3 linked regions of the Xenopus tropicalis genome follow. The protein of the gene in region 1 interacts with the protein of each later gene in a pairwise test. Links are inferred from orthologs where the notes say so. Each region holds a gene or a part of one and is shown in the gene's direction. Other genes may lie near its edges.

The links. The genes of interacting proteins can lie anywhere in the genome.
Region 2: the proteins of ralbp1 (region 1) and reps1 interact in binary tests that used the Homo sapiens proteins (3 or more experiments, as listed by UniProt). The link is inferred for Xenopus tropicalis from reciprocal best matches to the Homo sapiens genes RALBP1 and REPS1.
Region 3: the proteins of ralbp1 (region 1) and cep57 interact in binary tests that used the Homo sapiens proteins (3 or more experiments, as listed by UniProt). The two-hybrid records come from large-scale screens. The link is inferred for Xenopus tropicalis from reciprocal best matches to the Homo sapiens genes RALBP1 and CEP57.

Annotation. Positions count from the first base shown.
Region 1 is NC_030682.2:104,585,271-104,589,668, forward strand, and holds the start of ralbp1 (ralA-binding protein 1), read left to right. Parts: upstream 1-1,543; 5' UTR 1,544-1,776; intron 1,777-4,398. UniProt on the Homo sapiens protein: Multifunctional protein that functions as a downstream effector of RALA and RALB. As a GTPase-activating protein/GAP can inactivate CDC42 and RAC1 by stimulating their GTPase activity.
Region 2 is NC_030681.2:62,705,338-62,708,988, reverse strand, and holds part of reps1 (ralBP1-associated Eps domain-containing protein 1), read left to right. Parts: intron 1-2,904; coding exon 2,905-3,023; intron 3,024-3,651. UniProt on the Homo sapiens protein: May coordinate the cellular actions of activated EGF receptors and Ral-GTPases.
Region 3 is NC_030678.2:164,700,291-164,703,941, forward strand, and holds part of cep57 (centrosomal protein of 57 kDa), read left to right. Parts: intron 1-380; coding exon 381-458; intron 459-1,059; coding exon 1,060-1,161; intron 1,162-1,272; coding exon 1,273-1,353; intron 1,354-2,528; coding exon 2,529-2,755; intron 2,756-3,651. UniProt on the Homo sapiens protein: Centrosomal protein which may be required for microtubule attachment to centrosomes. May act by forming ring-like structures around microtubules. Mediates nuclear translocation and mitogenic activity of the internalized growth factor FGF2, but that of FGF1.

The DNA of each region.
Region 1 (4,398 bases):
TTAATGGGCTCTAACACAAACTGAAAGGCTGTTTTCAAGTTTGGGTTTATGGCTTTGTATCTGATATTTAAACCAGTGGATGCACAGTTTGCCACAAGGACATAAAGGAGTAATTTGAATAATCTCTGCCTATAATATCCTTACATGAAGGTTGCAAATTCTCATTCTTAGGGGCAGATTTACTAATCCACGAATCCGAATCCCGAAAGGGAAAAAATCTCATTGGAAACAAAAATTTAGCGACTTTTTCGTTGCCGTCGTGATTTTTTGTATTTGCCGCGACTTTATTGTATGTTGTGCGTCTTTTTTGTCGCCGTCACAATTTTTTCATATTGAGCGATAGTATACGGCGGAAAAACCAATCCGATTTTTTCGCAATGGTGACGAAAAAGTAGCGGAAAATATACGAAAAAATTTCGGGACCTATACCAAAAAGTCGCAACGGCGATGAAAAAGTCGCAAAAAATACCGATCATTACGAAAAAACGCATTTGGACCGTTCGTGGATTAGTAAATCTCCCCCTTAGTCTTGAGGCAAAGGGACATGGGTGCACTTGTAGCTCTTTAATAGATGGGCAAAAGACCCAGAATCCCTACTCATTCAATCTAATGCTACCTGTGGGTCTAGGCAGTCAGCTTTTCTTATCTCCAGATCCTTGCATATACTGTGCAGCTATTAAAAAAAAGTAAAACTTGAATTATACCACTGCCTTTAAAGCAGGGGTGGGCAAAGTTTTTGACTCGGGGGCCACATTTACTCACAGGCGGGCCAGGCCGGACCAACGTCCTCCCCCCAGCTCCCCCCCCCCCACCAGCATCCTCCATCTCTCCGACCTGCAGCTCCCTCCATCGTTCCGCTGCGTCTGTTCCCCGGCTCCCAGCTGCATCCTTTTTTATGGTTGCGCCCCCTGCGCACAAGCACGCCTAAAGCTCAACCAATCAGGGCCCATAAATTATTTAAAGGGACCCGGAGTCTGCGGGCCGGATTAAAAAGGCAAACGGGCCGGATGTGGCCCGCGGGCCGTAGTTTGCCCACCCCTGCTTTAAAGGATGAGTATACTGTCTACTTTTTCATCCTATTTATTTAATTAATAGGGCTGGTGCAGAACATTTCTTTGCATATTGTATGTTTTTGTCATTTCTTGGATTATACAGGGGAAAGTTTGAAATTGATTGTAGTCACATTCTACTTCCTAGAGTCCAATCAAAACAAATCACCCACGTCCACTCAGTACCTGTCCTCTGTATAAACAAACCCTTCCCCTGGCTGCAGCCTGTTAGGCTTTCATATAATAATCCGCTCATTATTCAGAGGTCACATTAATACACTGCTCATTTTCAGAAGAAACTTTGTTCAGCACCAATCCTAATCCACTGTAATATAAATGGATGTTTACTGCCCCCTTTATGGCAATGCTGTCTGCTGAATAAATTGTGTGACTACTATAAAGCAGTATCTCTGCTTTCCAGCTCCTTTTATACCTCCCCATTTTAAACTCTGGCACAGATATATAAAAAGAACCCCGCAGGGACATCATGTACTTTCAGTACGCCCCTTCGGTGCGTGACAGCAGCGCCCTTTCCTTTTACGCTTTTGCCAGTCCCAACATGGCCGCCTGGTTCACGTCGTTCTGACGCGCCTCTCAGGTTTCGGAGTCATTGTGCTGTTTCCTGCCCCGCACTGAGCTGAGGAGGAAGAGGAAGCGAGGCGCATAGTGACAGAGGGGGTGGACACAGGTGAGCGGAGATTTGTTTCGTCTGTACCGAAATAGTCATGTGCGTGCGTATGTTTTATAGCGGAATATTTATTGTGTGGAAATGTGTGTTCTCTCTATAGCCACACAGGCGAAAAATGTAATGAGTGTGAATTGATTCTCGTATATCACTGTCCTATGGAGCCACTGCTGGAAGACTTTGCAGTAAATCGCAGATCCCAGTGTGCAGCAGTACGACAAAGTCGGTGTCGTTGTTAGCATTTTGCCGTTCCTGAATGTATGTGATATGGCTCAGGGCATCGCCTTTAGTTTCAGGCACTATTCCTGCTCACTGTCTGCCAATGAATCTGTAAATCTGGGTGATGGAGGTGCTGCTCAGTTAGAGGTGTCGGTCACCAGAAAATCAGCTGTTATTATTATTATGGTGCAGGCGGTGCTACTCTGTGTGCTGATTTGCTGCAATTCAGATTTTTCGGTTGGCAGGAGAGGTTGTGGATTTGTCCCAAATCCTAGTTTAGTTTAAAGTTGATACTGTGGTTTTATTCAGTTTTTTTTCTCATTTTTAATACAGTGATCCAATTCAGTTTCAGTATTTGGGTTATCTCTACATTATGGATTTGGTTCATCCCTAGTTTTTGCCATTAAGGTAAATCTGCTTCTTGTCAAGATTTGAAGATTGAGGATTTAGACAGTGTTGTGACTTAAAGGGGAACTGTAGATTTCAAACCAAAATTTGTAAAAGAGCCTTACATAGAAACCTCCCAATATACCTGTCTATTAATCTATTAATCTATTCATTCCAAAAGTATGAATAATTGTCTTTTTTTTATCTACTGGAATCTAGCTGCAAAACAGTTTCTGCATCATTTGAAATCCTGCCAGAGGAGAAGGGACTAAAACAGGGGTGGGCAAACTTTTTAGCTCAGGGGCCACATTAATTAACATACGGGCCGGACCAGGCCGGGACAGCGTTACGCCCGGGGCTGCCATAAAAAATTATGGGGCCTCTCAGCTCCCCCCCAGCGACCCGCTGCTTCCTCCATCCCATCCTTCTGTTCCCCGGCTCCCCAGTGCATTCTTTTATATGGTTGCGCCCCGTGCGTGCTGACGCTGTGCGCACGCACGGGGCGCAACCAATCAGAGCCCGTCATTCTTTTAAGGGGGCCGGAGACGGCGGGCCGGATTAAAAGGGCTGATGGGCCGGATGTGGCCCGCGGGCCATAGTTTGCCCACCCCTGGACTAAAACATTGTAATTGCAAATGTAACAATATCCCCACAGTTTACAGACCGCAAGCAGGAACTACATATCCCACAATGCACTGCACTGTGATGTTCCATTCCTAATTACCATCACATGTGCAGGGGATTGTGGGATTTGGAGGATGCAGGCTGAAGGCAAGATGAGGACAGTCTCCTACTGTTAAATTTTATTTGAGTCTCAAAGTAGCAAGATCAGCAGGAGAACAGGGGGATTGGCATAGGTAGCTGTTCTAAACCATATTATTACATAATTGTAATAATATGTGTTGGGGTAGAGTTACCCTTTAAAAAAACTATAATGAAAATGTTTTTATTATGTCCTCACAATCTTCCCTTTATGTTCACCGCCCACAGGTCTGAGGTTGCATATAGGCATTATAACTAAATATGATTCTTTAGGGTGTGTCTTTCTGGTGCAATTAGTTTGTTTTGCATTGGCATGCAAACTATGCCAGGAAGAGAATAAGCTCTATTTTATATATCGGCTAATAAAATAATATACCATTTCTCCCCGTGTCAGCCGCTGTCCCTCTCGGGGAGAGATGTAGTTCCATTGGGCCTGTTGATAGAATTACAATTGGATATGTCTTCTGTGTAAACAGATTTTCTGTATAGTGTACCCACTTTTCCAGTGTGTTTTTCTCTGTATATAAAAAGATCTGTGCAAGGTTTTCTTGTTCAAGCAACAATTTTTATTGGGCAGTATGCCCCTTTATTAAATATGAATTTTAGTGAATAGGGCTTGTGCTATACAGGTATGGGACCGGTTATCCAGAATGCTTGGGACCTGGGTTTTCCGCATAAGGGATTTTTCCGTAATTTAGATCTCCATAACTTAAGTCTGCTAAAAAACATTTAAATATTGTATAAACCCAATAGGATTGTTTTGCCTCCAGTGCACTTGTTTTGCCTCATTGCACTTATAGTAGAACCCCCATTTTACTTTTTTTTTAAGGGACCAGAAAAAAATGATGTAAAATCCGGGAAATGTATTATTTATTGGTGGGACCACAGAAAACATGAGGGGAGGCAACTCCATACTGGGAAGCACAGTGAGTTTCTCGCTGTTGGTTGTGAAAATAACTTTCTGCAATCTTAGTTGCTAATCATGGCTTCTGCCATTAACTGTAGAGTTTTTCCGGCACTCTAGAAAATGTTTTCTTCATCAGAGAACAGAATTATTTCTCCCTAGATATGTTTTCTTATGTCCCTCAGAAAGTTAAAAAAAGACAACTTGTATTGTGCATCATCTTGCAACAATTTTTTTCCCCGCTTTTCCGCAACATTCTAAAGAAGTTCAAAGGCTATTAAAGCAGGGTCCAAAAATAGTCTGCAGTGTCCACCTAGACCTGAGAGAATCTTATGTGGTAAACATGCTTAAAGTGCTGCATGTTAAGTTTCTGGATCCTTTTTTGTCTCTTG
Region 2 (3,651 bases), on another chromosome or scaffold:
TGCTGATACAGCTTGTAGCACGTTCCCGCCAAAGGCTGCTATTGAAGAGGCCAGAACATCTAGCATGTAAAACTTGGAAAAGGTAGGCAAGGAGCTTCGAATAGCAAGCTCGTAAACAGCATCTCCTGACCTCTCAAAGTTCATGTCATGGATTCAATTTACAACTTATACATCTGTAAAACAAGTGGATTATTTCTTTCAGACATAGCAAGAAGAAGCATGAACATTCACCTTCACCTTCACTTGTATTTCTCTTGCAATTTATTAGATGAGTTCAGCTCTATAGATTCAGAGAACATTTCCTTCGACTCACAGCCTTGTGGTTTAGAAGAACCTTCCAGACAACCTGAGAAAATAAAAAAGTATCTTAAGAGATATTTTTCCACCTTTGAGGAAGAACAAATAACCATGTCTAAAGCTGATAAAGGGTTAGACAACTCTTCCAAAAAAACTCAGTTGCCAATATTGTTGAATGTGGAATGGCAGTAACCACAAAAAAATCCAGCATTCTTCACAAATTTTTCAATATATACCCAACATTCCACGATTACAAACATTGGCATAAAATTCCAAAGGTAGATCCAAGAACCAATGGATAAAAAAAATATATTCTGCTCTTAAGTGAGACTTTCAAAACACAGCAGCCATTCTGAGGCCAGAAATTGCATCTGCTGCAGTAGTAAAAATGGATAAATACTGGTGTCAAGAGTTTTTGACACACCCTTACACATCACCTGAACAATTTACATCTGTGTTAGAAAAGATTATATCAGCCCTGTCCTTAGCAAAAGCAGCTGTTGATGTTTCTAAACATTCAGTCATAGATTCAGCAGCGTCCATCACATCATGCAGAGCACTTTGTTTATGCCAGTGGTCATGTGAGACAGCATCAAAGTAAGAACTTACTTCACTTAAAGGGTCATAACTCTTTAGCCCAGAACTAAAACAAATAAGTTATTAAGTTGGTAGCAGCAAAGATGCCTTTTTTGCCACAGAGGAAAACAACCTAATAAGGATAGAATTACCACCACGCACTGCAAATAGCAGACAGCAGAGAAACTCTAGATCCCAGCCTCAGACACATTCCAATAGGAGATTCAAGTCCACTTGACAGAGCTAATCTAAACCTACCCCACAAACCTACTTCAGTCAAATGTCAGGACTTTAAAAAAAAAAAAAAAAAATCCACCTATGGTATTCCCTTCACCAAAAAGCCTCCGGAAGACAGATTTGTGCCATCTTCCATAGCTTTGTACCCTGCCAAGCAGAAAGGCATATTCTTCATCACCCATGATCTACTAAAAAAGTAAAATCTCAGGTGCCCACTTTGGATTTTACTCAAACCTGTTTATAGTACCAAAAGAAGATGGCAGGTTCTGTCCTGTGCTCAGCCTTCACCCACTGAAAAAGTTTGTAAGATACGAACGACTCAAGATGGAATCTATTCCAACAGTTATAGAGAGTCTCTGATCAATAGTCTTCATGTCCAGAATTAGACATCTGGGATATGAGCACCAGGACCAAATGGAAAAGACTCTCGGGTACTGAGAAAGCTAGGTTCAGTTTTAGCATGGCCTCTGTTTCTGATATTTTCAGACTTTCATCTGATATGGTCCTGTGGATTGGAGGAAAACTGATAAATGGCATTATGCGCAGTAATCAGTGTGGCATTATGAAGGGCAGGTCATATCAGACCAATTTGATGGTCTGATGCTTTTTATGATGAGGTTAGTAAGAAGCTGGGCAGTGGGGTTGCAGTAGATGTAATCTATTTGGATTTTGCCAGAGCATTTGATACTATGATAAAGACAGTAAGGCCCCATCTAGAATATGCTGTGCATTTTTGGTCTCTCATGCTGTAACGGGATATTATTCAGTTAGGCTGATGCCACACGTGGCGTTTTTCCGCTGCGTTTTTTCTCACCCTAAAAACGCCGCACAACCCACACAGCCCCTGACTATGGGGTTTTTCAGCCTAGTACTGGTGACGTAAGCAAATCCCGTTTCCATGGTGCTAATAGTGCGAAATAGCAAAAAACGCTGCATATTTCCGCTAGGTCTGGCAGCTGCCTTTGCGTATTCATAGGAATAGCTTGCTTTGCAAATACTGGCGTATTTCGGCCTACGCTTGAAAAATCCATGCTAAGGCGTTTTCTAGCGTATTTCCGCATTGTGTGGTTTTCTTCGAGTCTTTTCAAGCTATTTCTATGGATGATGATATCGGGTGCCATATCGTGTGCCATACACAGCATAGGGCAGAGAGAGTATGGCACACAGGCAGGGTGGGGCAGGCAGAGTATGGCACACACAGGCAGGGTAGGGCAGGTAGAGTATGGCACACACAGCCAGCATATGGCAGACAGAGTATGGGACATACTTACCCTACCAACCTGTGTGTGCCATACTCTGCCTGCCCTTTGCTGCCTGTGTGTCATACTCTGCCTGACTTTTGTTGCATGTGTTTCCATACAGGGGGTGAACAATGCAGGAAATAAAAGGTCTGAACAGTACAGGGAGTTACATGTTTAAAAAATTCAGGGGTTTACAGCCTAAATCTGATACGTGAACAATGCAGGGAGCAGTAAATCTCAGTAGTGATATCATTTAAATCTTACACAAAGGTAAGGTATATTGGAAGGGATAAAAAACCTTTTGCTCAGAGCATGTTAAATAATGTGATTTAAAGGGTTCAGGTTCGGTTTAGCTGAGTCCTGTTGAAAAAGGCTTAAATTCACCCAAATCCAGCATTCAGTGAATTTCTAATATATATAAGCTTATTTATATATATTTTTCAATTGTTTACCTTACAACACTGCTGCAGCTAAATTAAGTTAAACATCTTATGCCAGTTACCATTACTAAGTTATTAAGTTTTTCATCCTTTTTTCCACTTCTCAATCTAAGCTGGGGATCAAACTACTGATGTAGGGTTTACAAGTTCACCAGCAGAAGCTCCTCCTAGCAAATCGCCTTCAATGCCATCCTTGAACCAGACATGGCCTGAGATGAACCAGAGCAGTGAGGTAAGTAAAAATTGCAGGTTGTGAATGGATAATCTTTAAAGGGATTCTGTCAGGAGTTTTATGGTAACATTTTTATTACTGTTATAATATTGTTGTGAAGGTTTCCATCTCAGTGCATTTCGCCTGGTTTTGGTTTTCAAAAGGAGCCAGCACTACACAATAGAACTGCTCTTAGATCAGCTATTGTTTCTCCTACTGAAGTAGTCATGAGTCTTTCTACCTTCCCATTGTTCTGCTCATGGAGGAAAATGGAAGGAGGGTGATAGCACTCCAATTTGCAGTGCAGCAGTAAAAAGAGACTGAAGTTTATGAGAGCAGTCATATGACTGAGGACCACCTGGGAAACTAAGAAATATGTCTAGCCCCATGTCAGATTTCAAAATTAAATATAGAAAAAAAAAATCTGCTTGCTCTTTCTAGGTGGAGTCCCTTTCCTACCAGATGTATTAAAGCTCATTTAGATAACTGATTCCAGTGCAAACAAAGACTTCAGCAAAAAAAAATCCTGCATGCAGAGAGACAGGATTTCTGGTTATCTTCAAAAACTAAGCTCTAATATATCCTCTAGGAAGCTCACCAAAGGCTGCATTTTGCCTAATTGTCATTCAAAATCAGAATCTCATCTTCC
Region 3 (3,651 bases), on another chromosome or scaffold:
AGAGCCACATCTGGCTCCCGAGCCATAGGTTCCCTACCCCTGAGCTAACCTATTGTTTCTCCTACTCCTATGATACCTACTGGGAGCTGCTATCTTGCTCCCTTCCCATTGTTCTGCTGATCGGCTGCTGGGGGGGTGGGGGGGGGAATATCACTCCAACTTGCAGCGCAGCAGTAAAGTGTGACTGAAGTTTATCAGAGCACAGGTCACAGGGCTGTGGCACTCTGGGAAATGAAGAATATGGCTAGCCCCATGGGAAAAACAGATTACAACGCAGGATTCTGCTGGAGAAGCTCTAATAACTGATAGGTTTTTTTAAAATACATGTTTTCCTATGACCGTATTCCTTAAAGTCACATGACACCATTTTGCTTTTTTAGAAAAAAATCAGTGAAATCGAACAGAAACTGAGAGAGGAGGAGCATCAGCGCAAACTTGTGCAGGAAAAAGCAGCCCAGGTAATAATACTGTTTGCTCTTCAGCTTGCGATCCTGTCTGAAACTTGGTGATCTCATTACTGTATGTTGTTGTTATAGTATAAAGGCAACTGTATATGGAATGTGTAAATTTAAGTAGCTCAAGGGTAAGCCAAATGATGTAAAATCACTCTGCTCTTTTGCCTGCAATAGCTATATATGTGTAGTGCAAGTGACTGCCATACTTCCAATCGTCAGTTACCTGATTATAGGTGGACAAGCACAGCAGGCAGTGGGGGGATTTGGTACCAAAATCAGGTTTTTTATGCTATTGCCTTAACAACATTAATGTGATTGCAATAAGAAAGCTTATCAAAACAGTGAATGGAACTTGTTTCAAAACAATACTAATAAATAATAAATATTTAGTTGCCTAACAGTGCATTAATAAGTTGGTAATATGAAATACAAATGATTAGATGATTAATACATACCATGCCATTTGCAATGGAACTTGGCATAACCGGACCAGTTTTGTCATAAGTTACTCTCAGCACATTCTACAGGGAGGTGCCTAATTTAGTTTATTTCCGTTTTTGTATAAATAAATACATTTTTATCTAAAATATTTTCTTTCCTCCAGCTCCAAACAGGGTTGGAAACCAACAGAATTTTGCTCCGTTCCTTAACACCTCCATCAAAACAAGTGAAGGCAAAAAACATAAAGTCACTGCAGCTGGAAAAGGTATTTGGTCCTTCCGTGCTGCTAGTATTCTTTGTGGGCCTACCTAGAGTTTGGTTCTAGTGCACCCTCTTTGCTCTTTATTTATATGCTGTGTTCTTTCTTCTATTCCAGAAACCCACCTTTTCCAGTGTTTCACACTTACAGCCCCACTATCGCCTGAGCTTAGGAGATGTGCCCTTTGTTGCTGGAAAGGTAGGTATTAAAACCTTAGTCTTAATTTTTTCGATAAATTTTCTTTTAGGGAATCCATTTCCTATTTGATGCCCTTTTACATGTGCTTACGTAACCCAAGCTACCTTTTAAGAGAGCTGTACATTTGACAATGGTTACTCAGCAAGGCTGAAACTGGACACACTGAGTGGCAATAAATGTGGTACTGAGGGTTGGACGTTTTCTGGCCAATGTGGTGGAGGGCCGATAATGGAAGCCAGTTTTGACTACCCCCTTTTTTTACACTGCACCCACTTCAAACCACACCCATGTTATCACAAGAGCTTTTAAAACCATACCCACAATAATGGTGGTTGCGCAGCTAAAACACAAATAGTTTGTACTTACTGCAGGGATATCACTTATCACTCATACGTGAAAGAAGATTAATATGTCATATTAAGCCACACTCTTAGCCACTCCTCCCCTGTGGGTACCACAGAAAGGCACATAATTACACACCTAGGGATCCCATGACAACTATTTCCAGATGCTAATAAACTCCCAGAACAAAGCCCTGCCAGATTCATCTCTGACGAGCAGCATAGGGCAGGCAGGGTATGGCACACACAGGCAGGGTAGGGCAGGCAGAGTATGGCACACACAGGCAGGGTAGGGCAGGCAGAATATGGCACACACAGGCAGGGTAGGGCAGGCAGAATATGGCACACACAGGCAGGATAGAGCAGGGAGGGTATGGCACACAGGCAGGGTAGGGCTGGCAGAGTATGGCACACACAGGCAGGATAGAGCAGGGAGGGTATGGCACACACAGGCAGGGTAGGGCAGGCAGTGTATGGCACACACAGGCAGGGTAGGGCAGGCAGAGTATGGCACACACAGGCAGCATAGGGCAGGCAGAGTATCACACACACAGGCAGCTTAGGGCAGGCAGAGTATGGCACACAGAGGCAGGATAGAGCAGGGCAGGAAGAGTAGGTGATGCGACAGGGAAACCTGCAACTGGTCATGACCACTTCAACAAATAAACAGTTTGTACTGTACAGTGACACAATGCTAGCACTGCTCCTACATTCTGTGGGCCAGATGCTGGCAGTTGGACAGTGCCGCACTAGATTATAGAGCTCTCTATAAGCATATAGAATGTGTCTATTGTCTTTTTGCACATGTGTTTATTTTGATATTTTTGGTTCTAGTCCACAGGCACTAGCTATTCCGTGAGAGCCAATGTCCAGCATGTCTTGCACCTGATGAAGCAACATAATAAACTCTTGTGCAATGACCGAGTTGTGAGCGATCAGCCTGTTGAAAGGAAAGAGAGTGCAGTAAGGTGGACACCAGACCCAGTTTTATCTTCTCGCTCTTACCAAGACCTTTCAGAGGTTTTGCTCACACTGGAGGATGAGTTTGGGCAGATGAGTTTGTAAGTTGTTTCAGAGCTTCAATATTGAACTTTAAGCACATCATCTGCATTATGATGAATCCCTTTCCTCAGTTTAAATGGTTAATTTAAAAAAGGCTAGAGCCCTTGCAGGGGGAATATGCTCGTCTGTGCTTGGCAAAAGAGGATTCTGATAACCAGAATCCATGGGACCCACAGGGCTCTCTGGGAGATGGGCCCTTTGTAGTGAGTTTGTAAAAGGTTTGTGAGGTTAATGACATGATGCTGGATCTGTTGAGGTAGCTCAGAACTTGCACAGCAATCATCCCTGTTATCATAAAAGCTTGGTTAGACACTTTGCTAAAAAAAAAAAAAAAAAAAAATCGTGCATTTGCATGAGCAGCATATTGGCCAAATATTGGGCAGATCTCTTATCAGACAGGTGAGAAAATCCCCTTGGGTGAGGACCACATCAGCATACTGGTGAGATCCTCTCCCAACAGGAAGAGACCTAGATGCAAGTCCCTAAAATTTCCTGCCAAGACTTGCAGAGTCCCTTAAAGGAGAATGAAAGGTAAAGTAAGCTTTATCAGAAAGCTCGCAGAAACGCTGCACTGAGTCCTCTTTTAAAAAAAAAACAGGATTTCTTGTCTCCTTTTTTGTAAACCTGTTCTTAGGGTATCTGACTTCCTCTCTTAGAAAAATCCTTCATTCCTGGGGCCGAAGTCTGCACACTTCTCTCTCACCCTTCAAACTGTGCTGTAATCTGAGCTACCAGCAGCTAGAGCTGCAGCACGAAAGCTACTGAGACCAAGCTAAAATGTCAGCTGATAATTATTAGTAATGTTTGTTCAAAATAAAATCTTATTTAAAAAAAAAATGGCAGCTGCTATCTTAAACAAACAGATGGAGCTTCTAGGGCTGTTTACTCAGGTATG